Linked DNA regions of Anolis sagrei. Each later gene encodes a partner of the first gene's protein in a complex. Links are inferred from orthologs where the notes say so. Each region holds a gene or a part of one and is shown on either strand. Other genes may lie near its edges. The genes, in order: POLE2 and POLE4.

Region 1 (16,664 bases):
AAGCTTCCCACCAGAGTGGAAATCATCTATTGGAGAGATGGCAAGCTGTTGAACCTCACCAGACTGAAAGCCAAAACCAAGGTTACAACAACATCTGTTATAGAACTCCAGTATGCTGATGACAACGTCGTCTGTACGCATTCAGAACATCTACAAGCCACGCTAAACACCGGAGTGGAAATCAAATGTCAGATAGATGGCAAGCTATTTAACTTTAGCAGACTGAAAGCCAAAACCAAGGTCACAACAACATCTGTAATAGAACTCCAGTATGCTGATGACAACGTCGTCTGTGCTCATTCAGAAGATCTACAAGCCACGCTAAACACCGGAGTGGAAATCAAATGTCGGACAGATGGCAAGCTATTTAACTTTAGCAGACTGAAAAACAAAACCAAGGTCACAACAACATCTGTTATAGAACTACAATATGCTGATGACAACGTCGTCTGTGCGCGTTCAGAAGATCTACAAGCCACTCTAAACACCGGAGTGGAAATCATCTGTTGGACAGATGGCAAGCTATTTAACTTTAGCAGACTGAAAGCCAAAGCCAAGGTCACAACAACATCTGTTATAAAACTCCAGTATGCTGATGACAATGTCGTCTGTGCTCATTCAGAAGATCTACAAGCCACGCTAAACACCGGAGTGGAAATCATCTGTGGCACAGATGGCAAGCTATTTAACTTTAGCAGACTGAAAAACAAAACCAAGGTCACAACAACATCTGTTATAGAACTCCAATATGCTGATGACAACGTTGTCTCTGCGCATTCAGAAGAAGATCTGCAAGCCACTCTAAACACCCAAGTGGAAATCATCTGTCGGACAGATGGCAAGCTATTTAACTTTAGCAGACTGAAAGCCAAAACCAAGGTCACAACAACATCTGTTATAGAACTCCAGTATGCTGATGACAACGTCGTCTGTGCGCATTCAGAAGAAGATCTACAAGCCACTCTAAACTCCCGAGTGGAAATCATCTGTCGGACAGATGGCAAGCTATTTAACTTTAGCAGACTGAAAGCCAAAACCAAGGTCACAACAACATCTGTTATAGAACTCCAATATACCGATGTTCAGACTTTCATATAAACACCCACAAAAGTGGCATCTGTAGACAGTCCACCTCTCACAGGCGTATAGCCTTACCCTTACCTTAGGCGATCCCTTGTTGGACAAATAGGATAGTCTTCCAGGATCAGTATTCTTGTGCATCCGTAGGTGACTGTGGAGCCCAATTCTTGACCTGCATCTTCTCCAACAGTGAGGGCATTGGTTTCCAGGTGGAAGCCTTTCCCAGTGAGGGTTGGCTTGACGTGCCTTCTTCTTGGTACATTTTTCTCTTTTGTCCTCCATTCGTGCCTCTTCAAATTCTGCAGCACTGCTGGTCACAGCTGACCTCCAACTGGAGCACTCAAGGGCCAGGGCTTCCCAGTTCTCAGTGTCTATGCCAGAGTTTTTAAGGTTGGCTTTGAGGCCATCTTTCAATCTCTTTTCCTGTCCACCAACATTCCGTTTTCCGTTCTTAAGTTCGGAGTAGAGCAACTGCTTTGGGAGACGGTGATCGGGCATCCAGACAACGTGGCTGGTCCAGCGGAGTTGATTGCGGAGGACCATCGCTTCAATGCTGGTGATCTTTGCTTCTTCCAGCACACTGACGTTTGTCCGCCTGTCTTCCCAAGAGATTTGCACGATTTTCCGGAGGCAGCGCTGATGGAATCATTCCAGGAGTTGTACGTGACATCTGTAGACAGTCCGCGTCTCGCAAGCGTATAGCAGGGTTGGGAGGGGAATAGCTTTATAAACAAGCCCCTTGGTCTCCCTATGGATGTCCCGGTCCTCAAACACTCTCTGCTTCATTCAGAAAAATACTGCACTCGCAGAGCTCAGACGATGTTGTACTTCGGTGTCGATGTTGACTTTGGTGGAGAGGTGGCTGCCAAGGTGCCGGAAATGGTCCACATTTTCTAATGTTACACCATTAAGCTGTATTTCTGGCATTGGAGAGGGATTGGCTGGTGACTGCTGGAACGGCACTTTGGTTTTCTCGATGTTTATTGAGAGGCCGAGCTTCTCGTATGCTTCTGCAAAGGTGTTTAGAGTGGCTTGTAGATCTTCTTCTGAATGCGCCCAGACGACGTTGTCATCAGCATACTGGAGGGGACTCAGGGCGGAGCACCAAGAATCTCTATGAAAATATAATATTAATAAGCATCTGCATGCAAATATGCTAATAATAATCATAAACATATGTGTGGAAATATAGTATTACTAGTAATAATAATAATAAATACCAATACAGCTTTATTTTATCACCCCACAAGGCTCCAGACTGTGAGAAATAGATATATTTATATGGCAGTTAATGGAAATTCAGACCAAGGGAGCATCTACACTGTGGAATTAACCCAGTTTGACTCCACTTGAACTGCCATGGCTCAAGACTGTGGAGTCCTGCTGTAGTTTAACAAGGCCTTTCGCCTGTTTCACCAAACCATGATTCCATAGCATTTTGCCATGATAGTTAAAGCGGTGCCAAACTGCATTAATTCTACAGTGTAGATGCATTGCACACAATGACAACTAGATTGACAGCTTATTCCTTCCTCCCTTCCTTCCTTCTCCTTCCTTCCTTCCTTCCTTCTCCTTCCTTCCTTCTCCTTCCTTCCTTCCTTCTTTCCTTCCTTGCTTCCTTCCTTCCCCTTCCTTTCTTCTAATTCCTTCTCCTTCCTTCCTTCTCCTTCCTTCCTTCTCCTTCCTTCCTTCTCCTTCCTTCCTACTCCTTCCTTCCTTCTCCTTCCTTCCTTCTCCTTCCTTCCTTCCTTCCTTCCTTCCTTCCTTTTTTCCTTCCTTCCTTCCTTCTCCTTCCTTCCTTCCTTCCCCTTCCTTCCTTCTAATTCCTTCCTTCTTCATTCCTTCCTTCCCCTTCCTTCCTTCCTTCTTTCCTTCCTTCCTTTTTCCTTCCTTCCTTCCTTCCTTCCTTCCTTCGCCTTCCTTCCTTCCCCTTCCTTCCTTCCTTCCTTCCTTTTCTTCCTTGCTTCCTTCCTTCCCCCTTCCTTCCTTCTAATTCCTTCCTTCCTTCCTTTTCCTTCCTTCCTTCCTTCCCCTTCCTTCCTTCTCCTTCCTTCCTTCCTTCCTTCCCCTTCCTTCCTTCCTTCTCCTTCCTTCCTTCTCCTTCCTGCCTTCTTTCCTTCCTTCCTTCCTTCCTTCTTTTTTCCTTCCTTCCTTCCTTCCTTCCTTCGCCTTCCTTCCTTCCCCTTCCTTCCTTCCTTCTTTTCTTCCTTGCTTCCTTCCTTCCCCTTCCTTCCGTCTAATTCCTTCCTTCCTTCTAATTCCTTCCTTCCTTCCTTCTCCTTCCTTCCTTCCTTCCTTTTTTCCTTCCTTCCTTTTTTCCTTCCTTCTCCTTCCTTCCTTCGCCTTCCTTCCTTCCTTCCCCTTCCTTCCTTCTTTCCTTCCTTGCTTCCCCTTCCTTCCTTCTAATTCCTTCCTTCTCCTTCCTTCCTTCCTTCTCCTTCCTTCCTTCCTTCCTTCCTTCCTTTTTTCCTTCCTTCCTTCCTTCTCCTTCCTTCCTTCCTTCCCCTTCCTTCCCCTTCCTTCCTTCTTTCCTTCCTTCCTTCCTTCCTTCCCCTTCCTTCCTTCTAATTCCTTCCTTCTCCTTCCTTCCTTCTCCTTCCTTCCTTCCTTCTTTCCTTCCTTCCTTCTAATTCCTTCCTTCCTTCTAATTCATTCCTTCCTTCCTTCTCCTTCCTTCCTTCTAATTCCTTCCTTCCCTCCCTCCCTCCCTCCTTCCTTCCTTCCTTCCTTCCTTCCTTCTCCTTCCTTCCTTCCTTCCTTCCTTCCTTCCTTCCTTTTCCTTCCTTCCTTCCTTCCTTCCCCTTCCTTCCTTCTCCTTCCTTCCTTCCCCTTCCTTCTCCTTCCTTCCTTCCTTCTCCTTCCTTCCTTCTCCTTCCTGCCTTCTTTCCTTCCTTCCTTCTTTTTTCCTTCCTTCCTTCCTTCCTTCCTTCCTTCGCCTTCCTTCCTTCCCCTTCCTTCCTTCCTTCTTTTCTTCCTTGCTTCCTTCCTTCCCCTTCCTTCCTTCTAATTCCTTCCTTCCTTCTAATTCCTTCCTTCCTTCCTTCTCCTTCCTTCCTTCCTTCCTTTTTTCCTTCCTTCCTTCCTTCCTTCCTTCTCCTTCCTTCCTTCCTTCGCCTTCCTTCCTTCCTTCCCCTTCCTTCCTTCTTTCCTTCCTTGCTTCCCCTTCCTTCCTTCTAATTCCTTCCTTCTCCTTCCTTCCTTCCTTCTCCTTCCTTCCTTCCTTCCTTCCTTTTTTCCTTCCTTCCTTCCTTCTCCTTCCTTCCTTCCCCTTCCTTCCCCTTCCTTCCTTCTTTCCTTCCTTCCTTCCTTCCTTCCCCTTCCTTCCTTCTAATTCCTTCCTTCTCCTTCCTTCCTTCTCCTTCCTTCCTTCCTTCCTTCTTTCCTTCCTTCCTTCTAATTCATTCCTTCCTTCCTTCTCCTTCCTTCCTTCTAATTCCTTCCTTCCCTCCCTCCCTCCCTCCCTCCTTCCTTCCTTCCTTCCTTCTCCTTCCTTCCTTCCTTCCTTCTAATTCCTTCCTTCCTTCCTTCCTTCTCCTTCCTTCCTTCCTTCCTTCCTTCTTTCCTTCCTTCCTTCCTTCCTTCCTTCCTTCCTTCCTTCCTTCCTTCCTTCCTTCCTTCCTTCCTTCCTTCCTTCCTTCCTCAGTGAAGAATAAAACCAAAGTTTCCCAAAACTCTGTTTGCAGGTACTTGGGACTCTATTTCCCAGGATGCCTCCTCATTGGTCAAAGCAGCTGAGGCTTCTGGGAGTTTCAAGACTAGGAACCCGCTTTTCTACCACAAGGGGGCGGGGCCTGTCAGGAAAGGGGCGGGGAAAGGGGCGGGGCCTCACCGTTGGCGCCAAAGTTCCAAAATGGCGGCGGAGAAGCTGAGGGGGAAAGTGGGCGCCGCCTTCAAGATGCACGGCCTGCTGCTCCGCGCGTGAGTAAACCCTTTCCTCGGGGTCGGGTGGGCGCCTCTCTCGTGGCCGTGGCAAGCGAGGAAGGCCTTCGTGGAGGAGAGAAGATCTACGGCTCAGTCAAGGCCAATCTCTAAGCCCCAAGTGCTTTTGGACTTCATTTCCCAGAAGCCTCTGCCACTTAGGCTAAGGAGATGGCATTCTGGGAAATGGGGTCCAAAGGCATGGAAAGGCAGATCTTGGGCAATACTGAAGGAAAGCAGCCTAGAATCATGCAATCTAGTTCCAAATGGTTCATGAGATTATCTAGTTTAATAATCTGGATTATGTGGCGGTGTAGACTCACTTAATCCGGTTCCAAACAGATTGTGTCATTACATAGTTTAATAATCTGGATTATATGGCAGTGTAGATTCATGTACCCCAGTTCCAAGCAGATCATGTCATTACCTAGTTTACTTATCTGGATTATTTGGTGGTGTAGACTCATGTACTCCAGTTCCAAGCAGATCATGTCATTATCTGTTTTAATAATCTGGATTATTTGGCACTGTAGACTCATGTAATCCGGTTCCAAGCAGATCATGTCATTACCTAGTTTAATAATCTGGATTATATGGCACTGTAGACTCACACAATCTGGTTCCAAGCAGATCATGTCATTACCTAGTTTAGTAATCTGGATTATATGGCACTGTAGACTCATGTAAATCATGTCATCTAATTTTGTAATCTGGATTATATGGCGGTGTAGACACACTTATCCGGTTGCAAGCAGCTCATGTCATTACCTAGTTTAATAATCTGGATTATATGGCACTGTAGACTCACGTAATCCTGTTCCAAGCAGATTATGTCATTATCTAGTTTAATCATCTGGATTGTACAGTCATGCAATCCAGTTCCAAGAAGATCACGTCATTTACCTAGTTTAATAATCTGGATTATATGGCAGTGTAGACTCATGAACTCCAGTTCCAAGCAGATCATGTCAATATCTATTTTAATCATCTGGATTATATGGCAGTGTAGACTCACTTAATCCTGTTCCAAGCAGATCAGGTTATTATCTAGTTTAGTAATCTGGATTATATGGCACTGTAGACTCATGTAAATCATGTCATCTAATTTTATAATCTGAGTTATATGGCGGTGTCGACACACTTACTCCGGTTGCAAGCAGCTCATGTCATTACCTAGTTTACTAATCTGGATTATATGGCAGTGTATACTTATGTAGTCTGGTTCCAAGCAAATCGTGGCATTATCTAGTTTCATAATCTGGATTATATGGCAGTGTAGACTCACTTAATCCTGTTCCAAGCAGATTATGTCATTATCTGTTTTAAAAATCTGGATTATATGGCAGTGTAGACTCAAATAATCCGGTTCCAAGCAGATCATGTCATTATCTAGTTTACTAATCTGGATTATTTGGCAGTGTAGACTCACCTAATCCGGTTCCAAGCAGATCATGTCATTATCTAATTTAATAATCTGGATTATATAGCAGTGTACACTCACTTAATCCTGTTCCAAGCAGATCATGTCATTACCTAGTTTAATAATCTGTTGAAATTGTCCACATGCTTGTGGATTTCGCCTTCGACAATAATCATCATCATCATCTGCCATAAATCTGCACTGTAGATGCACACAATGACAACTAGACTGACAGGTTATTCACACTTTGGGTATTTCTTCTTCTTCTCTCTTCCGTTAGTGAAGCTGCTAAATATCTCACAGAAGCTCTTCAAACAGCTAATGAAGTTGAGCTGGAAGACATGATAGAAAATATAATCGACGCTGTTGAAAAACAGCCTTGTAAGTAATGCCGTCTGTTTTCTACAATGGTTTAAGAAGGAAAGGGTGGGATACTTAACGTTTCTGTGGCTTCTGATGGGATTTGTGATTGTAAACTAGGTTTTGTCATAAGCTTTTTAAGCGTGCTCCTCAATAACTACATAGGAAACCATTTTGTATTTTTACATTCTTCTTTTCAGTGACATGTAACATGATTGAAAAGTCCATGGTGGAAGCAGCCGTCCTGGAGTGCAGCCAGTCTGTAGACGAAACCATGTATGTTTACATTCGTTTACTTCAAACAAGCAGGAGCTTTTGATGCAGTCTAGTTTGGTTGATTGTCTTGTTGACTTCCATTACTTTGATTGGCTGATATTTCAGATTTTAGTGTCATTAATATTCATGTACACCAGGCATGGGGAAACCACCGCCTCCTCCTGAGAAAAATGTACACTATCACAAAGGATGACCACCTCACCCGTCTCATAGGAAACCTGCTACAAAACAGGAGCTTTTTTGTTGCGTTCCAGGGCCAGAGAAGCAGATGGCAGAAACAGAAGAACGGCCTTCCTCAGCGGAGTGTGCTCACTCCATCCATGTTCAACATCTACACAAATGACCAGCCACTGCCAGAAGGGACAGAGAGCTTCATCTATGCTGATGATCGTGCCATTACCGCTCAAGCAGGGAGCTTTGAGATGGTAGAACAGAAGCTTTCCGAAGCTCTAGGTGCTCTTACTGCCTATTACAGGGAAAACCAGCTGATCCCTAATCCATCTAAAACACAGACATGTGCCTTTCACCTTAAGAACAGACAAGCATCCCGAGCTCTGAAGATCACCTGGGAAGGAACCCCACTGGAGCATTGCAGCACATCCAAATACCTGGGAGTCACTCTGGACCATGCTCTTACCTACAAGAAGCACTGCCTGAACATCAAGCAAAAAGTGGGTGCTAGAAACAATATCATACGAAAGCTGACTGGCACAACCTGGGGATCACAACCAGACACAGTGAAGACATCTGCCCTTGCGCTGTGCTACTCTTCTGCTGAGTATGCATGCCCAGTGTGGAACACATCAGACCACGCTAAAACAGTGGATGTGGCTCTTAATGAGACATGCCACATTATCACGGGGTGTCTGCGCCCTACACCACTGGAGAAATTACACTGCTTAGCCGGTATTGCACCACCTGACATCCGCCGGGAAGTAGCAGCCAATAGTGAAAGGATCAAAGCAGAAACATCTCCAGCTCATCCCTTGTTTGAGTATCAGCCAGCACGCCAACGACTTAAATCTAGACATAGTTTTCTAAGATCTACAGAGACACTCGCTGGAACACCTCAGCAAGCAAGAGTCCAAAAGTGGCAGGCCCAAACCCAGCACCTCAACCAATGGCTGATACCCAATGAGAGACTCCCACGAGATGCAGAGCCAACCTCAAGAAATGGGGCCACAAAGTGGAATCCTCGGTATGCGAGTGTGGAGAAGAGCAAACCACTGACCACCTGCTGCAATGCAACCTGAGCCCTGCCACATGCACCATGGAGGACCTTCTTGCAGCAACACCAGAGGCACTCCACGTGGCCAGATACTGGTCAAAGGACATTTAACCAACTACCAAACTCACAAGATGTGTATTTTTCTGTCTGTTTGCTTTGTTCTGTTAGAAATGTAATATATAATGGACTGGTTGCTCTGACACGACAAATAAATGGGGAAATTTCTGCCCTTTCTCCAGGTGCTTTGAACTTCAACCCCCACAATAACTTGTGAGAGCCAGTAGGCTGTTAGGAGTTGTGAGAGTCCAAAAACACCTGCAGGGAGGGCTGAAGTTTGCCCATACGTGGTGTAGTGTAATGTCAGTATTAATATGGCATCCATTCATTGATTTTTTTGCATGAGCAGCTAAATAATGTAGAGAGGGTTGACAGAATTTCCTGCAAATCCAAAGTTTGGGAGTTTATTGTTCAAATAATGTTGTCTTTGGATTAGTGAAGGCTTTCATGGCCAAAATCATTGGATTGTTGTGAGTTTTCCAGGCTGGCCATGTTCCAGAAGCATTCTTTCCTGACGTTTCACCTGCATCTATTTATTTATTTGTTTGTTTACGACTTTTATATGCCACCCTTCTCACCCAGAAGTGGACTCAGAGTGGCTTGCAAGAGATATATACTGTTTCAAGATTGGGAAAGGCGTCCGGCAAGGCTGCATACTCTCACCCAACCTTTTTAACGTGTATGCAGAACACATCATGTGAGGATGTGCGGGGCTTGAGGAATGCAAAGCTGGGGTGAAAATTGCTGGAAGAAACATTAACAACTTCAGGTATGCAGATGACACCACTCTGATGGCCAAAAGCGAGGAGGAGCTGAGGAGCCTTCTAATCAAGGTGAAAGAAGAAAGCGCAAAAGCCGGGTTGCAGCTAAACATCAGAAAAACCAAGATTATGTCAACAAGAATGATTGACAACTGGGAAATAGAGGGAGAAAACGTGGAGGCCGTGACAGACTTTGTATTTCTAGGCGCAATGATGAGTGCAGACGCAGACTGTGGCCAGGAAATCAGAAGACGCTTCCTTCTTGGGAGGAGAGCAATGTCCAGTCTCGATAAAATAGTAAAGAGCAGAGACATCAGATTGGCAACCAAGATCCATTGCCTAGTCAAAGCCATGGTCTTCCCTGTAGTCACCTACGGATGTGAGAGCGGGACCTGAGGGAAGGCTGAGCGAAGGAAGAGAGATGCTTTTGAGCTGTCGTGTTGGAAGAAAGTTCTGAGAGTGCCTTGGACTGCGAGAAGATCCAACCAGTCCATCCTCCAGGAAATAAAGCCCGGCTGCTCATTGGAGGGAAGGATATGAGAGACAAAGTGGAAGTCCTTTGGCCACATCATGAGGAGACAGCAAAGCCTAGAGAAGACAATTATGGTGGGGAAAGTGGAAGGCAAAAGGAAGAGGGGCCGACCAAGGGCAAGATGGATGGATGGCATCCTTGAAGTGACTGGACTGACCTTGAAGGAGCTGGGGGTGGTGACGGCCGACAGGGAGCTCTGGCGTGGGCTGGTCCATGAGGTCACGAAGAGTTGGAGACGACTGAACGAATGAACTACAACATATTATATTATTAGCATAGGACAATATCAGTATTAAATATTACTATATTGTACTATACCATTACATTGTAATATTATTAGTAATATTACATGTAATATAAATATATAATTATAATATCATATTACTATTATTGGAGCCCCCGGTGACGCAGTGGGTTAAACCCCTGTGCCGGCATGACTGAAGACTGACAGGTCGCAGGTTCGAATCTGGGGAGAGTGTGGATGAGCTCCCTCTATCAGCTCCAGCTCCTCATGCGGGGACATGAGAGAAGCCTCCCACAAGGATGATAAAAACATCAAAATCATCCGGGCGTCCCCTGGGCAACGTCCTTGCAGACGGCCAATTCTCTCACACCAGATTCTCAAGTCTCTCCTGACACGACAAAAAAAAATACTATTATTAGTATTATATTGCATATATATCTATGGCAGACATCCTCAGAACTTGTGAGTCTGTATGGCTCTACCGGAGAAGTCAGCCATAGCAGAGCCCTTGATGAACCAACCTGGACACAGCATATTATCTGAGTACACAGAAATGCTGGACCACTCTCACAACCACCATGTCAGGCTACACAGGGAAGTCACAGAAATCCACAAGAAGCATGTGGACAATTTCAACAGATAGGAAGAAACCATGAAAATGAACACAATCTGGCAACTAGTGTTTTTTTTTTAAAAAAAAAAAAACCTCTAAAATCATAACAGTAAATAAAGAACAACACTCAAAAACAGGTGAATTCCAGACAAGAAACAATCAGGACCAGTTAATCACTGTCAGTGACATCAGCAGCACAACAAGACAGGAACAGATCAATCACAGTCACCTAGGCTACAAAAATGACTTTATTCTTACAGCTATATACATTAGAAGCTACTTAACAACCAACACATCATAAACTTGCTTCTTTACAGTCCAATCATAACATCACGAACTCTTCAACTGTTATCAGTACTAGTCCACACCTCCTGCATTCCAGCTGCCTCCATTTGTTCTACACACTTAATTTATGACATCTCTAGGAATGCCGTTCCCTCCATGGTTCAGTTAACTTTTTCCACACAGGAATACATTTCACTTGGCACATAGCTACTGCATTTTAAACATACATGCATACTTTGAAATCTACATTATAAATTGCAAAAAGCCTCAGCAATCACCTCCCAACAAAGGATTCCCCCGGGGAGTAAGAAGCCAGACCTTGAAACTGCTAGGCCATTAAATGCTAATCAAGGTGACCAATTGAAAAATTCACACCTACCTCAACAGACAAGAGTTGTTTCTCCCACCCTGGACATTATTCCAGAGATATAAACCCAATATTCCTAGTTCCAACAGACCTCACAACCTCTGAGGATGCCTGCCATGGATGCAGGCAAAACTTCAGGAGAGAATGCTGCTCGAAAATAGCCATATAGCCCAGAAAACTCACAATAACCCAATGTAGTCTTTTATAACTCAGCAATCATCTCTGATTTAAAGCGAGTTGGTGATCCTGGCTTAGATAGAAACAGCCATTGAATGGTAATTCCAGGTTCAGACATGTTTCTGCCTGCTGTGTTTATTTCAAATGATTCAATTGCATCTGTAGAAACAAGATAATTGGCACAGCAGAATACTGTACCAAATTATTTTTCATGATTTTTGTCCCCCAAATAAAGCTTTCCAATATCTTTCCTTGTGCATATGATTTCTCCACAGGGAACACATCTTCAACATCATCGGAGCTTTTGATATCCCGCGATATGTTTACAATTCGGAGAGAAAGAAATTTCTACCGTAAGTTTGTGCTTTGTAAGTTTGGATCCCAAGCTGTGATGATGTGTATTTTTATTCCTATGGTTATGTGTTGTTTAAACAGTAGTTAATAAATGGTAAGTATGTAGGATTATATTTTGTTAGAGATGGTGTCTGGTTTGGCTTGAGCTGAGTTGCCATAGAAACGGGGGTGGAGCCAACTGTCACCTAACTGCATATCTGTTTGAAATAGGCAGTCTGTGACCGTTAGAGTTACAGAGAAGACTGAAATCTCTGGTGGGAGATTCAGGGAACTAGTCTGTGACCAGAGAGTTACAGGAGAGGTAGTTGATCCTGTGGTGTGTGGAAAACCAGCAGGAATCCTACAGTTAGAGAACTATAGGGAAGACTGATTCTTTAATATTAAGAATCAGGGTTTGGCTGTGAGCCAATATAGTTAGATAAGTCAGGTGGCTTATTTGTAGTAAAAGAACGCTTGTTGAAGAAAGATATATCTACTCAAAGAAACCTTTTGAAGTCTGTTTAGTACCTAAAGTTATTCAGGAAACCTTATCAATGTAACTAACTAAGTTTGCGCCTCTAATGAAGTAAGAATTGAATCTGTTATACTCCTGTTAAATAAATTTGTTACTGTTTTCCTCAAGCCTTGCCTGATACAGTTTCTCCTAAGTCAAACAGCCCCACATAAGAAGTAAGACCAAATCAGGGACATTAAATATCAGCTTCACTATCAAATAAATAAATACTTCTGTAAATAATAGTCCCTTTATAAACCAGCTCCTAAGCTGATATTGATCATTGCCCGGCTTTCCTCACAAATTTGGTGGCAGTAGTTTTACGCTCCTTTACACAAGCCAATTTACATTTCGTAGAATCATAGAATCAAAGAGTTGGAAGAGACCTCATGGGCCATCCAGTCTAACCCCATTCTGCCAAAAAGCAGGAATATTGCATTCAAATCACCCCTGACAGATGGCCATCCAGCCTCTGCTTAAAAGCTTCCAAAGAAGGAGCCTCCACCACACTCCGGGGCAGAGAGTTCACATTTTAGGAAAAGAGATTCCACTTAAACATGAGTAAGAATATACTAGCAGAGCTGTTCAAGAGTGGAGTCTGGTGGAGTCTCCTTCACTGGAGGCTTTTAAACAGAAGCCGGATGGCCATCTGTCAGGAGGGTTTGGATTGTATTTCCTACATGAGCATAAATCTGCTCTAAAGAAAGCTTAAGAGTGTACTGGTTTGAGTGTTGGAGTTCGTGGTTCAAATGGCCACCTGCTGTTAAAACCCACGGGGGAGTTTAGGCAGGTCACACTCTCTCAGCTTCAGAGGAAGGCAGTGACCAACCTCCTCGGAATAACTTTGGAGTTAATCGTGTTGGGAGTTTCTGGGATTGGGTTGCTGTAAATTGGGTTCAGGTTGAAGACCCCAAACAAGGAGTAGAGGTTTTCATGTTTCTGTTTTTGTGGGACCCCATTTCACCCAAGTCTGTACAATGTTTCTTTCAGCCTCTCGATGACCAGCCACCCTCCGCCCAGTCTGTTAGGCTCTGCCAGGGATAAAGCAGAATTATTCCGGGAGCGTTACGTCATCTTGCAGCAGGTGAGGTAAAAAAGATTAAGGGGATTTAGTCCATTTTGCACTGTGAAAGGTTACTTTGTTGGACAACAGCTCCCATCATCCCCGGACAGTATTGCCAGCAGCCTGTTATTTAATTGAAAAACTTAATTCTTCCAACATCTGATTTATAGCTTTAGAAAGTCCCACGAGTTCAGAAATATGTGGACAGAAATATGTGGACAGAGTTTGGAATCGGGACGTGAAGTTATATGACTCTCCCTCCCAAGGGAAACTGTCGTGACCCACAGAACACAGAATGTCTTAAACAGCAGTTGAGGTGCAAAATAGTAGTATTTTAATGCAAAACAAACTAAATGAGGCACTTTAAGAGTCAGTGCAAACAGTTCAAAGGATGTTTTCAAACAGGAACACAAAATGCTAGATAAGCAGGCTTGAATTGCAGCCAAGAAATAACAAGAGATACAATGAACTAGGAGCAGAATACAAAACAAAACAGTCTTTAAGGGTTGCAAGGCATGGAGCAAAATCCGGTAGGCAAACGCGTAGTCAGTCAGTTCCAAGGGTCAAGAAGCCAGATGTACACTCACGAGCAAAGGTTCCAAGGTCCGGAGCATGGCAGGGAAAACAGGATACTGGGAATCCAAAACAAGATTAGGCAGAGAACAACACGAAACAACACTTTGTCGTCTGCAAAGGAATAGGTCCCAGAGTGCTCATTTTATTCACTATCAGAAGAATGAGATTCATTGCTTGCATCTGATTCTGCTCCCACAGCTGAAGCATCTACACCACGCCAAGCCTGCCACCTTTGCTCTAGTGCCTGATCCTGCCAATCAGTACTCTCATTCCCATTATCCCTAAAACCTTCAAAATCATCACTTGATGTTGCTTGATTGCAAATGTCTCTAATGTTCTGAACCAGAGTCCAGTCTACAGCCTCCTCCAACTCATCCTCACTATCACTGGAGTTATCTGCTGTGTCTCTAAGCCTCTTAGACATAGTGTCACTCTCACTGCCAGAATCACTAGCCACTCTCTTCACTCCCCTGTAATCTGCTTCCATAGCCTCCTCTGGCCTGAATCCTGCAAAGTCTTCTTCATCACTGGGAGCCAGAAAGATGTCACGAATGCGTTTCAGCTGGCGCTGATTCTCCTCTGTTTCTGCATCACTCCTTCTTCTCCTACTACTAGTAGTAGGTATGGTGTCAGAATGCTGACTCACAACAGAAACACTCATAGATAATAGATTTGTATTTGTGGGGAAATCGCACTACGGATAGGAAATATTTTCTCTCAAAATGAAAAGTTGCCTTAATTTGAAAACAAAAGAGAGAAATAAATATATCATCAAATAGAGGGCTGCAGTGATCATCATTTTGATCTTGCTGCTGTTTGATGTTACCAGACCAAGGCTGGATCTACATTGCCATATAATGCAGTTTGGGATTGAATTATGTAAATCTACGCTGACCATACAATCTGCATTATATAGAATCATAGAATCAAAGAGTTGGAAGAGACCTCATGGGCCATCCAGTCCAACCCCATTCTGCCAAGAAGCAGGAATATTGCATTCAAATCACCCCCAACAGATGGCCATCCAGCCTCTGTTTAAAAGCTTCCAAAGAAGGAGCCTCCACCACACTCTGGGGCAGAGAGTTCCACTGCTGAACGGCTCTCACAGTCAGGAAGTTCTTCCTCATGTTCAAGTGGAATCTCCTTTCTTGTAGTTTGAAGCCATTGCTCCATTGCGTCCTAGTCTCCAAGGAAGCAGAAAACAAGCTTGCTCCCTCCTCCTCCCTGTGGCTTCCTCTCACATATTTACACATGGCTATCACGTCTCCTCTCAGCCTTCTCTTCTTCAGGCTAAACATGCCCAGCTCCTTAAGCTGTTCCTCATAGGGCTTGTTCTCCAGACCCTTGATCATTTTAGTCACCCTCCTCTGGACACATTCCAGCTTGTCAATATCTCTCTTGAATTGTGGTGCCCAGAATTGGACACAATATTCCAGGTGTGGTCTAACCAAAGCAGAATAGAGCATGGGGAGCATGACTTCCCTAGATCTAGACACTAGGCTCCTATTGAGGCAGGCCAAAATCCCACTGGCTTTTTTTGCCGCCACAAAAAAGTGTAGATCCAGTCTTAGTCTGCAAACCAAAACATATCCCTTAGGAAGTATGTTTTCTGGAAACTTGGTGGGATTTATTTCCAAGTGAGTGTACATAGGACCACGCCATTAATCAGGATAGCTGTGCCGGGCTGCAATTTAGCAGTAAAAAAACTAGAAGTAATCTTACATTGTGGTATAACCTTCCATGGTGTAGAAGGGAATTCTGAAGGCTGACCACAGAATTGCATTGGAGGACCTAGAGACTCCTAGAGAGGTTTTGTTAATCTTATGGTTATGTTTTTTACTTTGTATGTTTTGTGATGTTACCTGGGAACCGCTCTGAGACCCCTCGTGGAGATGGAGCAGTATATAAATAAAGTTTTATTATTATTATCATTATTATTATTATTGAAATTATTTTTATTGAAATAGAGTAAGAATATAATATCCATGTAAAGAGGGGGAACATAGTGTTTATAAGAAAAGTAGGAAAAATAGAAAAATAGTTAGAATGGGAAAGGTCAAAAAGGGGAAAGTAAAAAAGGGTGAAAAAAAAGAGAACAATTAAAAATAATATAAAATAAAAAGTCCGGCAACTTCCTTCTAATTCTGCACGTATTTCCAATTTATTGTCGATACACTCCTCCCAGTCTAACAATATCCACTTCTATGCTTCTTAGATAGTAAGTAAGTCCAGTTACATATCCTTGTATCTTCTTTCAATATAGTCCTCAATTAATGACCAATTTGTTTGTTTAACCAGATTGCCTGTATTTCTTTTTAATTAAAAAGTTAGTATATCCATGTCTTTAATTTTGTTTATCTTTTTTATCCAGTGGTCCTTCTCGGGTATTTCCTTTTGCTTATTATTATTATTATTATTCACCCGAAATCTCTAGTTCCTCCAGGAACTCCTATCAATACAGAATTTGTCAAACAGAATATGGCCTTGTAGTCCTATTGGAAAAGTTAAGACTGACAAAAGGACGTGTTTGAAAATACATGTGCAAAAATGATATTGAATCTAAGGCAACAAAACAACCAAGAAAAATTGTGGATGGATGATCAGAAAAACACCTCCCAACAATTATATATCACTAGGTTCTTGTAGGTTTTTTCGGGCTATAGGGCCATGTTCTAGAGGCATTTCTCCTGACGTTTCGCCTGCATCTATGGCAAGCATCCTCAGAGGTGTGAGGTCTTTATCCAAAGATTTTCTCTGAACTTAATCATGAACTCATGGTCTTTCTCCCGAATCTCATTCATTTTGTTTATCAGTTGCTGAGCTTCTTGCTCCATATTTTCAATTGTTGAATTCTGGGCCA
Region 2 (16,456 bases), on another chromosome or scaffold:
TACGCAGATGATGTCCAACTCTGTTACTCCTTTCCACCTGCTACTAAGGAAGCTGTTCAAGTCCTGAACCGGTGCTTGGCGGCTGTAACGGACTGGATGAGGGACAACAGATTGAAACTAAATCCAGACAAGACAGAGGTACTCCTGGTCAGTCGAAAGGCCGAACAGGGCATAGGGTTACAGTCTGTGCTGGATGGGGTTACACTCCCCTGAAGGCGCAGGTTCGCAGCTTGGGAGTGATCCTTGACTCATCGCTGAGCCTGGAACCCCAGGTCTCGGCGGTGGTCAGGGGAGCTTTTGCACAATTAAAATTTGTGCGCCAGCTGCGCCCGTACCTTGGGAAGTCTGACTTGGCCATGGTGGTCCATGCTCTGGTTACATCCCGTTTAGACTACTGCAACGATCTCTACGTGGGGTTGCCTCTGAAGACTGCTTCAATCAGTCCAAAGAGCGGCAGCCAGATTGCTAACGGGAGCGGGGTAGAGGGAGCATACGACTCCTCTGTTACGCCAGCTCCACTGGCTGCCAATTAGCTTCCAAGCACAATTCAAAGTGTTGGTTTCGACCTATAAAGCCCTAAACAACTCCGGCTCAATTTACTTGTCCGAACGGATTCTCCCCTATGAACCATCAAGGTTATTAAGATCTTCCGGAGGGGCCCTGCTCTCGATCCCACCACCTTCACAATCGCGTCTGGTGGGGACGAGGGACAGGGCCTTCTCGGTGATGGCTCCTCGGCTTTGGAACTCCCTTCCACTAGAGTTTATTTATTTATTTATTTATTTATTATTCGAACTTATATGCCGCCACTCCCCTGTGGCTCGGAGCGGCTTACAAGAATGACTAAAATCTAACACAATTTAAAAACAATTTTAAACAATTTAAAAACAGAAATATCAAAAATCAAAGGCCTGTCGAAACAGGTATGTCTTGCATGCCCTGCGGAAAGCCGATAAGTCCCGCAAGTCACGGACTTCAGATGGCAGAGTATTCCAGAGTGATGGCGCCATTGCTGTAAAGGCTCTGCGTCTGGTTGCTGTTAGACGCAAGGTCTTGACACTGGGAATTTCCAACAGATCTTGGTCCTCAGAACGGACGGATCTCTGGGGTTGGTAGGGGGTGAGGCGGTCCCTCATGTACATTGGCCCCAGACCACGCAAGGCCTTAGAGGTGAGTACCATCACTTTGAAAGTGATCCGGTGCTCAATTGGTAACCAATGCAGCTGTAGTAAGATTGGTGTTATGTGGCATCTCATCGGAATTCCCGCAAGAAGCCGAGCAGCTGCGTTTTGTACCAACTTGAGCTTCCGGATCACCGACAGAGGAAGGCCAATGTAGAGGGCGTTACAGTAGTCCAGTCTTGAGATGATCGTAGCCTGGATCACCGTAGCTAGGTCGTCCCTGGACAGGTAGGGGCCAGCCGTCTAGCCTGCCGCAGATGAAAAAAGGCGGTTCTGCTAAAGGCGGAGACCTGGGCCTCCATCGTCAGCAGAGGGTCCAAAAGGACTCCCAGACTCTTTACCAATCATGACGGGTGTAGTGCCTCGCCATGCGGGGTAGGCAGCTGGATATCCCACTGCCCGGTCGACCCAGCCATAGGATCTCCGTCTTTGCTGGATTCACCCTCAACCTGCTGGCACGCAGCCATCCTGTAACGGCCTCGAGGCACTGATGGAAACAATCGGGTACAGAGTTTGGTCGGCCTTCCATCTTCAGCACAAGCTGAGTGTCATCGGCGTACTGGTAACATTCAAGCCCAAAACCTCGAAACAGCTGAGCAAGTGGTCGCATATAGATGTTAAACAACAGAGGGGAGAGAATGGCCCCCTGAGGAACCCCACAAGATAGAGGGGACCTCTCGGAGACCAGACCTCCCCTCTCCACTCGCTGTCCATGGTTGTGAAGAAAGGAGGACAGCCAGTTTAAAGCTCTCCCCCTGACTCCAACAGCAGCAAGGCGTTGGGTCAAAAGATTGTGGTCGACTGTGTCAAATGCTGCTGTGAGATCCAATAACACAAGCAGCGCTGACCCGCCCTAATCAAGCTGGCATTGGAGGTGATCTGTGATGGAGACCAGCACAGTCTCTGTCCCGTGCTCCGGACTGGAAGGGATCTAGTCCGGCTGTGTCGTCTAGGAATTGCTGCAACTGCTCCGCTGCTGCCCTCTCAATCACCTTGCCCAGGAATGAGAGATTTGAAACTGGGCGGTAACTGGAGGGAACCGAACAATCTAAGTCTGGTTTCTTCAGCAGGGGAGAGACCACCGCCTCTTTTAAACCCTCTGGAAAAACTCTTTGCTCAAGGGAGCTGTTTATAATCTTCAACAGAGGGTCACGTAATCCCTCCAAGCAGGATTTCACCAACCAAGAGGGACACGGATCGAGGGAGCAAGTGGTCGGTCTATCTGCAGCTATGAGCCTATCAACAGCCCCTGCGTCCAGTGGGATGAACCAGTCGAGGATGGGCCCAGCAAGTGGCCACGGAGTCTCAAGTTCTCTCACTGTATCAATTGTGGCGGGGAGGTCCCGGTGAAGTAGCGAGATCTTGTCTGCAAAATAGCTCTGAAAAACCTCGGCTGAAGGGGCCTGGTCACCACTTTTTGGGACAGTAGGAACCGTCGTTAGAGATCGAATTATTTTGAACAATTCTGCCGGGCGTGAGCTAGCAGATGCTATCAAAGAAGCATAATATGCTCACTTTGACTCGGTGACAGCATGCTCATAGGATTCCCTAAATGCCTCATAAGCTGATCTCGCTGCTCCGTCACGGAGTTCTCGCCACACGCCCTCTAGCCGTCTCTTTTCCTGCTTCATCAGTCGAAGTTCCTCGGTGAACCAAAGAGACCGATTTCGGTGGGGTCGGAGAGGGCATCTAGGGGCAATCTCGTCGGGTGCATTGGATAGCCTAATGTTCCATGTGTCCACCTGCACATCGATCAAGTCGCTGGCAGGCTCCAGATCCCTCAGAGCATTCCGGAACCTACTGGGTTCCATAAGTCTCCTTGGGCGAGCCCAAATTGGCTCGGCGCCCTTGCAGGGTGGGTAGGCATGCTCTCAGAGCACAGTGATCCGACCATGGAACCTCTATTGTGGAGGCTTGATCTGATTAGATCTGCCCCTTCTCTCCTGTCGTTTAGAAAACTACTAAAAACCTGGCTTTGGAATAAGGCATTTGATGATTGAGTCAATAACCTTTGTGCACACGGAAGGATGGTGATGAATTGTAACTCTATTTGACGACTTGGCTTATGTAATGTGATGATGTTTTTATTGTATTTTTCGGTTTTTAATGATGATGTATTGTACTGTTTATATTACTGTATTTGAGTACATGCTGTAAACCGGCCTGAGTCCCTCTCCGGAGGTCGAGAAGACCGGTATATAAAACTTCTAAATAAATAAATAAATCTAGTCCAACAGGAAGGCACCATTCAAGCCTTCCCAACAGATGGCCATTCAGTGAGATATAGGATTGATATATATACAGACATAGAATAGATATATCATAGGATCTTAAGAGCTGAAAGAGACCCTAAGAGCCATCCTGACAGATGGCCATTCAGCCAGATATGATGTGTGTGTGTGTGTGTGTGTGTGTGTAAATAAGAGCCCCTCACTCTTTTGCAGGAAGACACACCATCTGACCTTTTCCAACAGATGGCCATTCATCCATAGCTATGACTGAGATATATGTTTGTGTGTGTATGTATGTGTATATGTATGTATGTATGTATGTGTGTGTGTGTACGTGTATATAAAATCAACGTATCATAAAAAGAATTGGAAGGACCACATGGCCCTGTTGTTTTTGCATGGCCAGAGGACACCACCCGATCCCTCCTGAGAGATAGACATTCAGCCACAGCTTCGAGCTCTATACACACACACACACACACATATCTGTCTCAACGATCCCATACTCACAAGGTCAGAGAGCTCCAGGCGGCGGAGCAGGAATCCCACGCCGCAGCCGGTGACCACAGAGAGCAAGGAGAGGACCAGGAGGCCGTTCTTGGTCCAGAAGACCCGCAGGCCCCTCCGGATGCCGCCCAGGGCCCGCTTGAGGCGTTCCCACATGGCGCTCTCCGCAAAGGGGGACGGCTCTGCGGGGCATCATTGGGGAGCCTGCCGTCCCACCAGAGGAAGCATGCTCCAGCGACACCCTCCTCTCCTTCCCTTTCCTTCCTTCTTTTCTGGGCTCCCGAGCCTTCCTTGCTGTCCCCTTGGGCTTAAGGGGAGAGTGACGTCTTGAGCCGGCTTTGGGCGAAGGAGGCACTGTCATAAGTCCTGTCCCTGCGGGAAAAACAAAGGTCTTAGTCTTAAGGGATTGGCAGGGCAGGCAGGCGGTCAAATATAGATCTCAATGGGGGAAGGACGGAGAGAGGGATGCACTCTGCACATGGCCAAGAAGAGTAAGAATAAGAAGAATGGAGAGGGATGAAATCTGCATAATAATAACAACACTAACAATAATATCAGAGAGGGAGGGGTGAAATCTGCATAATAATAATAATAACAACAACAACAACAACAACAACAACAACATAGTAAAGGTAGTCTCCTGACATTAAGTCCAGTCATGTCTGACTCTGGGGTGTGGTGCTCATCTCCATTTCTAAGCCGAAGAGCCAGCGTTGTCCGTAGACACCTCCAAGGTCATGTGAATTGGAAGAGACCTGGTGGGCCACACAGTCCAATCCCATTTTGCCAACAAGCAGGAATATCATCTTCAAAGCCTCCGACAGATAGCCATCCAGCCTCTGCTTCAAAGCCTCCAAAGAAGGAGCCTCCACCACAATCAAGGGCAGAGAGAGAGTTCCACTACTGAACACCTCTCACAGTTAGGAAGTTCTTCCTCATGTTCAGGTGGTATCTCCTTCCTTTCCTGTAGTTTGAAGCCATGGTTCCATTGCGTCATAGTCTCCAGGGCAGCAGAAAACAAGCTTGCTCCCTCCTCCCTATGACTTCTCCCCTCATATTTATACACAGCCCTCATAATGTGTCCTCTCTGCCTTCTCTTCTGCAGGCTAAACATGCCCGGCTCTTTCAGCCGCTCCTCATAGGGCTTCAGACCCTGGATCCTTTGAATCGCCCTCTTCCTCTGGACACATTCCAGCTTAGAGTCAACATCTCCCTTCAATTTGGTGCCCAGAATCAGACACAGTGTGATTCCAGGCAAAGTGGTCTGATGAAGACAGAAGAGAGGGGTAGCATGACTTCCCTGGATCACTAGACTCCTCTTGATGCAGGCAAAAATCCCATTGGCTTTTCAAGCTGTTGCATGACATTCCTGGCTCATGTTCCCCTTCCTCCTCACGAGGACTTCAAGGTCTTTTCCCCACGTCCTACTGTCGAGCTAGCCATCATCCCCCATTCTGTCTCTGTGCATTTCATTTTTTTCTGCCTGAATGGGATATCTTGCATTTGTCACTGTGAGAAGGATGCACTCTGAACATGTTCAGAGGCAACCCAAGGGTGGATAATAATAATAATAATAACAACAACAACAACAACAACAATGGAGAGGTGCAATTGCGTAATAGTAATCCTCATCATATCAGAGAGGGATGCACTCTGCACATGGCAAATAATCATCATCTTTGTCGAAGGCTTTCATGGCTGGAATCACTAGGTTCTTGTGGGTTTTTTCGGGCTATAGAGCCATGTTCTAGAGGCATTTCTCCTGACGTTTCGCCTGCATCTATGGCAAGCATCCTCAGAGGTAGAGACCTCTACCTCTGAGGATGCTTGCCATAGATGCAGGCGAAACGTCAGGAGAAATGCCTCTAGAACATGGCTCTATAGCCCGAAAAAACCCACAAGAACCTAATCATCATCTTTATTTATATCCTGTCATATCAGAGAGGGATGCACTCTGCACATGCTCAGAGGCAATCCCAATGAGGGGAAATAATAATAACAATAATAATATTGCAAAAAGAGGGATGCACTCTGCACTATATTAATAATAATAATAATAATAATAATAATAATATAGAGAAGGATACACTGCATAATAATAAGGGAAGGATGCACTGTGAAGAACTTAACGGTGAAAGAGAGCTTTTCAGCAGTGGAACTCTCTCCCTCTCTGTCCTGGAGTATGATGGAGGCTCCTTATTTGGAGACTTTGAAGCAGAGGCTGGGTGGCCATCTGTGGGGGGGGGGGGGGGGGCTTTGAATGTGATTTTCCTGCTTCTTAGCAGAATGGGTTGGACTGAATGCACTCTGCATAATAATAATAATAATATAATAATGAAGGGAGGATGCATTGAATAATAATAATGACAGATGCACTCTGCATAATAATAATGATGATAATAATGAGGGAAGGATGCACTCTGAATAACAACAACAATAATAATAGAGAGGGATGCACTCTGCATAATAATAATAACAATAATAAAGAGAGGGTTGCACTGAATAATAATAATAAAGAGGGAAGGATGCACTCTGCATAATAGTAATAGGGAGAGATGCACTTTATATAATAATAATAATAATAATAATAGAGGGAGGGATGCACTGAATAATATTAGGGAGCGTTATATTGTATTATTTCATTATTATTATTATAATTATATTACTATATGTATTATTATTATACCATTATATTAATACTTTGTGTTGTCATATTACAATATGAGCATCACCCCCTCAGAGTTGGATATGACTAGTCTTAATGTCAGGGGAAACCTTTACCTTTACCTATACTATGTTACTATATTATCATTGTTATATTCTTCTCTATACCTCCCTGTCTCCCCCTATTCTATGTCACTATACACCTGTATTATTAATTTTGTTATATTAATAATTCTATGTTATTATATCACTATTATTATCTTCTTCTTCCCAAGAGCTCTATGCCTCTCCATCTTCTATGTTATATCATTATATTATTATATTGCTATATTTATTAATTAATATTATATGGTGTTATATTATTATATTACGATAAAGCAGATTACAGGAGCTGTCTTCATAGACCTGTCAGCAGCCTATGATACTGTGAACCACCGCCTCCTCCTGAGAAAAATGTATAATATCACAAAGGACTAACACCTCACCCGCCTCATAGGAAACCTGCTACAAAACAGGAGCTTTTTTGTTGAGTACCAGGGCCAGAGAAGCAAATGGCGGAAACAGAAGAACGGCCTGCCTCAGGGGAGCGTGCTTGCTCCATCCATGTTCAACATCTACATAAATGACCAGTCACTGCCAGAAGGGACAGAGAGCTTCACCTATGCTGATGATCGTGCCATTACTGCTCAAGCAGGGAGCTTTGAGATGGTTGAACAGAAGCTCTCCGAAGCTCTAGGTGCCCTTACTGCCTATTACAGGAAAAATCAGCTGATCCCTAACCTATCAAAAATACTGACATGTGCTTTTCATCTCAAGAACATACAAGCATCCCGAGCTCTGAGGATCACCTGGGAAGGAATCCCACTGGAGCATTGCAGCACACCCAAATACCTGGGAGTCGCTCTGGCCTGTGCTTTTACCTACAAGAAGCACTGCCTGAACATCAAGCAAAAAGTGGGCGCTAGAAACAATATCATACGAAAGCTGGCTGGCACAACTGGGGAATCACAACCAGATACAGTGAAGACATCTGCCCTTGCGCTGTGCTACTCTGCTGCTGAATACGCATGCCCAGTGTGGAACACATCTCACCACGCTAAAATAGTGGATGTGGCTCTTAATGAGACATGCTGCATTATCACGAGGTGTCTGCGCCCTACACCACTGGAGATATTACACTGTTTAGCCGGTATTGCACCACCTGACATCCGCCAGGAAGTAGCAGCCAATAATGAAAGGACCAAGGCAGAGACATCTCCAGCTCATCCCTTGTTTGGGTATCAGCCAGCACGACTTAAATCAAGAAATAGTTTTCTAAGATCTACAGAGACACTCGCTGGAACACCTCAGCAAGCGAGAGTCCAAAAGTGGCAGGCTCAAACCCAGAACCTGAATCAATGGCTGATACCAAATGAGAGACTCCCCCCTGGGCACACAGAAGACTGGGCGACTTCAGAGGCACTCCAAGTGGTCAGATACTGGTCAAAGGACATTTAATCAACTACCAAGCTTGCAAACTCTGTTTTGTCTGTTTGTTAAAATTTGTTAAAAATGTAATACAATTATCTGGTTGATACTGACACGATAAATAAATGATAAAGTAATTATATTTACTATATATTTATTATATTAATATTATACGGTGTTATACATATATTATATTATTTATTATTATATTAATATTCTATGTTAGGGTATATAATTATTATTGACAAGTTAGAGAGTTGGGCCAAAACTAACAAAATGAAGTTCAACAGTGACAAATGCAAGAGACTCCACTTTGGCAGGAAAAACGAAATGCAAAGATACAGAACGGGGGACAATGCCTGGCTCAAGAGCAGTACGTGTGAAAAAGATCTTGGAGTCTTGGAGTTTAACTTGTGGACAACAAGTTAAACATGAGCCAACAATGTGATGTGGCGGCAAAAAAAGCCAATGGGATTTTGGCCTGCATCAATAGGAGCATAATGTCTAGATCTAGGGAAGTAATGCTACCCCTCTATTCCGCTTTGGTTAGGCCACACCTGGAATATTGTGTCCAATTCTGGGCACCACAATTCAAGAGAGATATTGACAAGCTGGAATGTGTCCAGAGGAGGGCGACTAAAATGATCAAGGGTCTGGAGAACAAGCCCTATGAAGAGCGGCTTAAGGAGCTGGGCATGTTTAGCCTGAAGAAGAGAAGGCTGAGAGGAGATATAATAGCCATGTATAAATATGTGAGAGGAAGCCACAGGGAGGAGGGAGCGAACTTGTTTTCTGCTTCCCTGGAGACTAGGACGCGGAACAATGGCTTCAAACTACAAGAGAGGAGATTCCATCTGAACATTAGGAAGAACTTCCTGACTGTGAGAGCCGTTCAGCAGTGGAACTCTCTGCCCCGGAGTGTGGTGGAGGCTCCTTCTTTGGAAGCTTTTAAACAGAGGCTGGATGGCCATCTGTCCTGGGTGATTTGAATGCAATATTCCTGCTTCTTGGCAGAATGGGGTTGGACTGGATGGCCCATGAGGTCTCTTCCAACTCTTTGATTCTTTGATAAACGATAAAGTAATTATATTTACTATATATTTATTATATTAATATTATATGGTGTTATGCATATATATATATATATATATATATATATATATTATATTATTATATTTATTATTATATTAATATTCTATGTTAGGGTATATAATTATTATTGTGATCTTTTTCTTCCCTAGAGCTCTCTGACTCCCCCTAGAGAGCTTTGGCGGGAAGGGCCAGTGAAAGCCGGGCAGAGGGGGCGTGGCTTCCCGCGGCATGAAGGCGGGGCCTGAGGCCTTGATTTGCGTACCGCGTGGCGCAGGCGCAGTAGCGGCCAACATGGCAGCAGCGGTTCCTGAGGTAAATGTCGCGGCGGCGCTTCCCAGCGAAGAACCGGAGGCGCCACCCACTACCGCAACGGCCCGCCCGGCTCGCTTGCCTTTGTCCCGGGTGAAAGCGCTGGTCAAAGCCGACCCGGATGTCAGCCTCGCCAGCCAAGAAGCCGTCTTCATCTTGGCCCGCGCTACGGTGAGACTGAGACTGCGCATGCGAGGGGTGGAAGGGGGCAATCGCCTGGCCAATCAGAGCGTTCGTTTGCTCCCGGTAGGCGGAGACTGCGTGTGGGCGTGGCTACCCCCGCGCGCTTTTTAATGCTGGCCAATCTCGCCGCTGTGGGCGTGGCCAATACCAGGGTGCAGGGGGCGTGGCTGAAGAGAGGGTGGCGTTGTTTCACCAACAGGGGGCGCGCGTGCTTTCCTTGAAAAGTTTGGGAAAGTTTTCACTGTATTGTCGAAGGCTTTCATGTCTGGAATCACTAGGTTCTTGTGGGTTTTTTCGGGCTATATGGCCATGTTCTAGAGGCATTTTCTCCTGACGTTTCGCCTGCATCTATGGCAAGCATCCTCAGAGGTAGTGAGGTCTGTTGGAATTAGGAAAAAGGGTTTATATATCTGTGGAATGGCTGGGGTGGGGCAAAGAGCTCTTCCCTGCTGGAGCTAGGTGTGAATGTTTCAACTGACCACCTTCATTAGCATTTGAAGGCCTGGCTGAGCATGGGAAAATCTTCTGTTGAGAGGTGTTAAGATGTGCCTTGTTGTTTCCTCTCTGCTGTTTTGCTGTTGTAATTTTTGAGTTTTTTAATACTGGTAGCCAGATTTTGTTCATTTTCATGGTTTCTTCCTTTCTGTTGAAATTGTCCACATGCTTGTGGATTTCAATGGCATCTCTGTGTAGTCTGACATGGTGGTTGTGAGAGTGGTCCAGCACTTCTGTGTTCTCAAATAATATACTGTGTCCAGGCTGGTTCATCAGTTTTCACTTTTTGAAGAATTGCATGTTTATTGTATTGTCGAAGGCTTTCATGGCCGGAATCACTGGGTTATTTATTTATCGTGTCAGGAGCAGACCAAACAGTTGTGTTTCATTTTTTAACAAACAAACAGAACACAAAGTTTTCAAGCTTGGTATTCTATTAAATAGGGGGTGTCATAAGGCTCACCAAAGGACACCAGAAAACACAGTATTTTTGTTGGTCATGGGTGTCTCTGTGTGGGAAGTTTGGCCCAATTCTACCATTTGTGGGGTTCTTTGATTGTAGGGGAACTATAAATCCCAGCATCTACAACTCTCAAATCTCTATTTCCCCCAAACTCCATCTGTGTTCATATTCAGGCATATGGAGTATTCATGACAAGTTTGTGAGAAGCCATTGAAATCCACAAGCATGTGGACAATTTCAACAGAAAGGAGGAGACCATGAAAATGAACAAAATCTGGCTACCAGTATTAAAAAACTCTAAAATTACAACAGCAAAACAGCAGAGAGGAAACAACCAGGCACATCTTAACAACTCTCAACAGAACATTTTCCCAGGCTCAGCCAGGCCTTCAAATGCTCATCAAGGTGGTCAGTTGAAACATTCACACCTAGCTCCAACAGACAAGAGTCCTTTGTCCTACCCTGGTCATTCCACAGATATATAAACCCATTTTCCTAATTCCAACAGACCTCACTACCTCTGAGGATGCTTGCCATAGATGCAGGCGAAACGTCAGGAGAAATGCCTCTAGAACATGGCTCTATAGCCCGAAAAAACCCACAAGAACCTAGTGATTCCAGCCATGAAAGCCTTCGACAATACATTAAATCCTTCATTGTTTGAGTCCGCAGTGCTCTCTGGATGTAGGTGAACTACAACTCCCAAATTCAAGGTCAGTGTCCACCAAACCCTCAGTTTCATCATTGGTGGAGTTCAGAATGCGCTTTGATTGTAGGTGAACTATAAATCCCAACAACTACAACTTCCAAATGACAAAATCAATTTTTTCAGTGATGATAACTCCTTGCATTAGTAGGTGTCTTGTGGCCAAATTTGGCAGCATAATTGCGGATTTTGAGTTAGGATGTCACTCAAAACGAATAGAGCATTTTTTATACATAGATAATAATACAATGTATCATGATGCTATAATAAATAATATAATACAAATATTATATAATAACAATCTCTATCTCTCTCTATATATATTGCAGGAGCTGTTTGTGGAGACCATTGCCAAGGACGCCTTCATCTTTGCCCAGCAAGGCAAGAGGAAGACCCTCCAGAGGAAGGACTTGGGTGAGAAATAATACAGAAATAATAATAATACAGAAATAATAATAATAATACCTCCTTATTAATTCCATTTTTGTTTTATGCCTCACCTGCAGACAACGCCATTGAAGCCGTGGACGAATTTGCCTTCCTGGAAGGTAAGCGGCCCATTGGAGTCAATACTGGGTTGCTGTGAGTTTCCTGGGCTGCCTGGCCATGTTCCAGCAGCATTCTCTCCTGTCATTTCCTCAGAGGTTGTGAGGTCTGTTGGAAACTGGGCAAGTTGGGTTTATATATTACTTACTTACTTACTTTACTTACTTAGGCGATCCCTCGTTGGACGAGTAAGATGGTCTTCCATGATGGGTTTCTTTGTGGATTCGTAGGAGGCAGTGGAGCCCTATTCTTGACCCGCATCTTCTCCCACGGTGAAGGCATTGGTTTCCAGGCATTGGTTTCCTCCTGGCACATTTTTCTCTTTCACCCTCCACTCATGCCTCCTCGAATTCTGCAGCACTGCTGGTCACAGCTCACCTCCAGCTGGAGCGCTGAAGGGCCAGGGCTTCCCAGTTCTCAGTGTCTATGCCAGAGATTTTAAGATTGGCTTTGAGGCCATCTTTAAATCTCTTTTCCTGTCCACCAACGTTCCGTTTTCCATTCTTAAGTTCGGAGTAGAGCAACTGCTTTGGGAGACGATGGTCAGGCATCCAGACAACGTGGCCGGCCCAGCGGAGTTGATGGCAGAGGACCATCGCTTCAATGCTGGTGGTCTTTGCTTCTTCCAGCACGCTGACGTTTGTCCGCTTGTCTTCCCAAGAGATTTGCAGGATTTTCCAGAGGCAGCACTGATGGAATTGTTCCAGGAGTTGCATGTGACGTCTGTAGACAGTCCACGTTTCGCAGACATAGAGCAGGGTTGGGAGGACAATAGCTTTATAGACAAGCACCTTGGTATCCCTACGGATGTCCTGGACCTCAAACACTCTCTGCTTCATTCGAGAAAATGCTGCACTTGCAGAGCTCAGGCGGTGTTGTATTTCGGTGTCGATGTTGACTTTGGTGGAGAGGGGGCTGCCAAGGTAGCGGAAATGGTTAACATTTTCTGGGTTTATATATATATATACCTGTGGAATGATGTCCAGGATGGGAGAAAGAACCCTTGTCCGTGTGAGGCAAGTGTGAATGTTGCCATTGGCCAACGTAAGTAGCATTAAATGACCTGTAAAATCAATCAGTGAGGGGAATCTGCATAGAGGGAGCCTGGCCTTTGTTGCCTGGAGGCACCCCCTGTGGAATAATGTCCAGGGTGGGAGAACGGACTCTTGTCTGCTTGAGGCAAGAGTGAATGTTGCAATTGGCCACCTTGATTAACATTGAATGACCTTACAGCTTCAAAGTCTGGCTGCTTCCTGCCTGGGGAATCCTTGGTTGGGAGGTGATAGCTAGACCTGATTGTTTCCTGTCTGGAATTCCCCTGTTTTCTTGCCTCCCACTCTGGACATTTTTCCACAGATATATCAACCGCATTTTCCTAGTTACCAACAGACCTCACAACCTCTGAGGGTGCCTGCCATGGATGTGGGCAAAACAGCAGGAGAGAATGTTTCCTGAACAGGGCCACACAGCCTGGAAAACTCACAACAAACCAGTGATTCTGGCCACGAAAGGCTTCGACAACACATAATTAATACTATTGTCTAGATTATGATGATGATCATAAATGTATTACATAGTTTGGACAGTTTATTTCTCTGCCACATTATTCACCTTCTGGTCTTGTCTATTTTAGATTATAATAATATATTATATTATATACTAGCTGTCCCCTGCCACGCGTTGCTGTGGCCCAGTCTAGTGATCTGGAAAATAAATTAATAAGAAAGTGTTGGTTTCTAATATATGTAATTCCTTTCTGCTTGTGAGTAAACAGTATTTCGTGTTGTTTCTTTGTCAGTGTTGATGTGGAGAGTGTCTGGTTTGCCTACTCTGGAACATGCCACATACCATAGTCCTCCTTTAAGGGTCTCTTTCAAATCTATGATACCATATCTGTGTGTGAGAGAGAGAATCATATCTATCTATCTATATTTATGACTGGATGGCTCTTTGTCAGGAGGGCTCTGATTACATTTTCTTGCCCTGGTGAAGAGAGTTGGACTGGATGGCCTTAAGTATTCTCTGTTGGTCATGGGAGTTCTGTGTGGGAAGTTTGCCCCATTTCTGTCGTTTGTGGGTTTCAGAATGCTCTGTTGGTCATGGAAGTCCTGTATGCCATGTTTGGTTCAATTCCATCATTGGTGGAGTTCAGAATGCTCTTTGATTGTAGGTGAACTATAAATCCCAGCAACTACAACTCCTAAAATGTTGAGGTCTATTTCCCTTAAACTCCATCTGTGTTCATATTTGGGCATATGGAATATTTGTGCCAAGTTTGGTCCAGATCCATCGTTGTTTGAGTCCACAGTGCTCTCTGGGTGTGGGTGAACTATAATTCCCAAACTCAAGGTCAATGCCCACCGAACCCTTCCAGTGTGTTCTGTTGGTCATGGAAGTCCCATATGCCATGTTTGGTTGAATTCCATCATTGGTGTTCAGAATGCTCTTTGATTGTAGGTGAACTATAAGTCCCAGCAACTACAACTCCCAAATGTCAAGGTCTATTTCCCTTAAACTCCATCTGTGTTCATATTTGGGCATATGGAATATTCGTGCCAAGTTTGGTCCATCTCCATCATTGTTTGAGTCCACAGTGCTCTCTGGATGTGGGTGAACTATAATCCCCAAACTCAAGGTCAGTGTCCACCAAACCCTTCCAGTTTTTTCTGTTGGTCATGGGAGCCCTGTATGCTAAGTTTGGCCCAATTCCATCATTGGTGGAGTTCAGAATGTTGTTTGATTGTAGGTGAACTATAAATCCCAGCAACTACAACTCCCAAATGACAAAATCAATTTTGGATATAAATGTGTCCAAATTTGGTGTCAATTCCCCCAGTGGTTTTTGAGTCCTGATGGTAGCACGAACTAACATTACATTTTTATTTATATAGATAGAAATGTATCAGATCGTTTGGACATTTTGGAATAGATTAACTATGATAATAAATTAATAAATACAATAATATTTAAGTGCAAGTGACTCCACTTAGGCAGAAAAAAAGGAAATGCAAAGAGACAGAATGGGAGACAATGCCTGGCTCGATGGTACAACGGGCAGCAGCCAGGTTACTAACTGGTGCGACTTACAGGGAGCGCTCAACCCTCCTGTTTAAGGAGCTCCACTGGCTGCCGTTTATTTTCCGGTCCCAATTCAAGGTGCAGGTTCTTACCTACAAAGCCCTGAACGGTTTGGGACCTGCCTACCTGCGTGACCGCATTTCTGTGTACGAATCCACACAATTTCTTCGATCATCTGGAGAGGCCCTGCTCACGCTTTCACCTCCTTCGCAGGCGCGATTGGTGGGGACAAGGGAGAGGGCCTTCTCGGTGGTGGCCCCCGGACTCTGGAACTCACTTCCCAAGGACATCAGGCATGCCCCAACATTGACAGTCTTTAGGAGGAGCCTGAAAACGTGGCTGTTCCGGTGTGCCTTCCCAAAATAAGGAAGATTCCCAGCAATATGTCCTCAGAATGCACTTTACTACTGGGTTAGGATTGACTGCGCTCCCTCATCTCTTTTAAAACTCTATACCAGATATATCCTACCTGGTTCATGCTATTACTATTACATTTGGCCCGGCCACAGGTTTTTTAATCCTTGTGTGTTACTGTTTATTGGTTATTGTTTAGATGTGATTTATATTAATTGTATTGTATTTATTGTTTTTTGTTTATTGCTTTTTGTTTTTATTGATGTGTTGTTGGGCTTGGCCTCATGTAAGCCGCTCTGAGTCCCTTGGGGAGATGGTGGCGGTGTATAAATAAAGATTATTATTATTATTACTATTATTATTATTAGTAATAATAATAATGGAGCCCCCGGTGGCGGGGTGGGTTAAAAGCACTGAGCTGCTGAGCTTGTTGATCGAAAGGTCGCAGGTTCGATTCTGGGAAGCGGCGTGAGCTTCCGCTGTCAGCCCTAGCTTCTGCCAACCTAGCAGTTCGAAAACATGCAAATGTGAGTAGATCAATAGGTACCGCTCCGGCGGGAAGGTAACAGCGCTCCATGCAGTCATGCCGGCCACATGACCTTGGAGGTGTCTACGGACAACGCTGGCTCTTCGGCTTAGAAATGGAGATGAGTACCACACCCCAGAGTCAGACATGACTGGATTTAATGTCAGGGGACAACCTTTACCTTTACCTATTATTATTAGCCATCCCCTGCCACGCGTTGCTGTGGCCCACATGGGGATAATGTAATGTTAGTTTGTGGGATTAACAGAACTCAAAAACCACTGGACGAATTGACACCAAATTTAGACACAAGACACCTAACAACCCAATGTACGTCCTTCACTCAAAAAAATTGATTTTCTCATTTGGGAGTTGTAGTTGCTGGGATTTATAGTTCACCTACAATCAAAAAGCATTCTGAACCCCACCAACGATGGAATTGAACCAAACTTGGCACACAGTTCTCCCATGACCAACAGAAAATACTGGAAGGGTTTGGTGGGCAGGGTCCTTTGGTTTTGGAGTTGTAGTTCAGCTACATCCAGAGATCACCGTGGACTCAAACAATGATGGATCTGGACCAAACTCTACACGAATACTCAGTATGCCCGAATGTGAACATTGGTGGAGTTTGGGAAAAATAGAATCTTGACA

The links.
Region 2: POLE2 (region 1) and POLE4 share a complex: the UniProt entries of both Homo sapiens proteins name them as parts of the DNA polymerase epsilon complex. The link is inferred for Anolis sagrei from reciprocal best matches to the Homo sapiens genes POLE2 and POLE4.

The regions. Positions count from the first base shown.
Region 1 is NC_090021.1:340,612,616-340,629,279, reverse strand, and holds the start of POLE2 (DNA polymerase epsilon subunit 2), read left to right. Parts: upstream 1-4,895; 5' UTR 4,896-4,930; coding exon 4,931-4,998; intron 4,999-6,698; coding exon 6,699-6,799; intron 6,800-6,978; coding exon 6,979-7,054; intron 7,055-11,593; coding exon 11,594-11,671; intron 11,672-13,155; coding exon 13,156-13,249; intron 13,250-16,664. UniProt on the Homo sapiens protein: Accessory component of the DNA polymerase epsilon complex. Participates in DNA repair and in chromosomal DNA replication.
Region 2 is NC_090034.1:61,627,844-61,644,299, forward strand, and holds the start of POLE4 (DNA polymerase epsilon subunit 4), read left to right. Parts: upstream 1-9,410; 5' UTR 9,411-9,433; coding exon 9,434-9,622; exon of another isoform or gene 9,623-9,646; intron 9,647-11,627; coding exon 11,628-11,712; intron 11,713-11,804; coding exon 11,805-11,846; intron 11,847-16,456. Other genes in the region: excitatory amino acid transporter 5-like, read right to left, coding at 3,923-4,075. UniProt on the Homo sapiens protein: Accessory component of the DNA polymerase epsilon complex. Participates in DNA repair and in chromosomal DNA replication.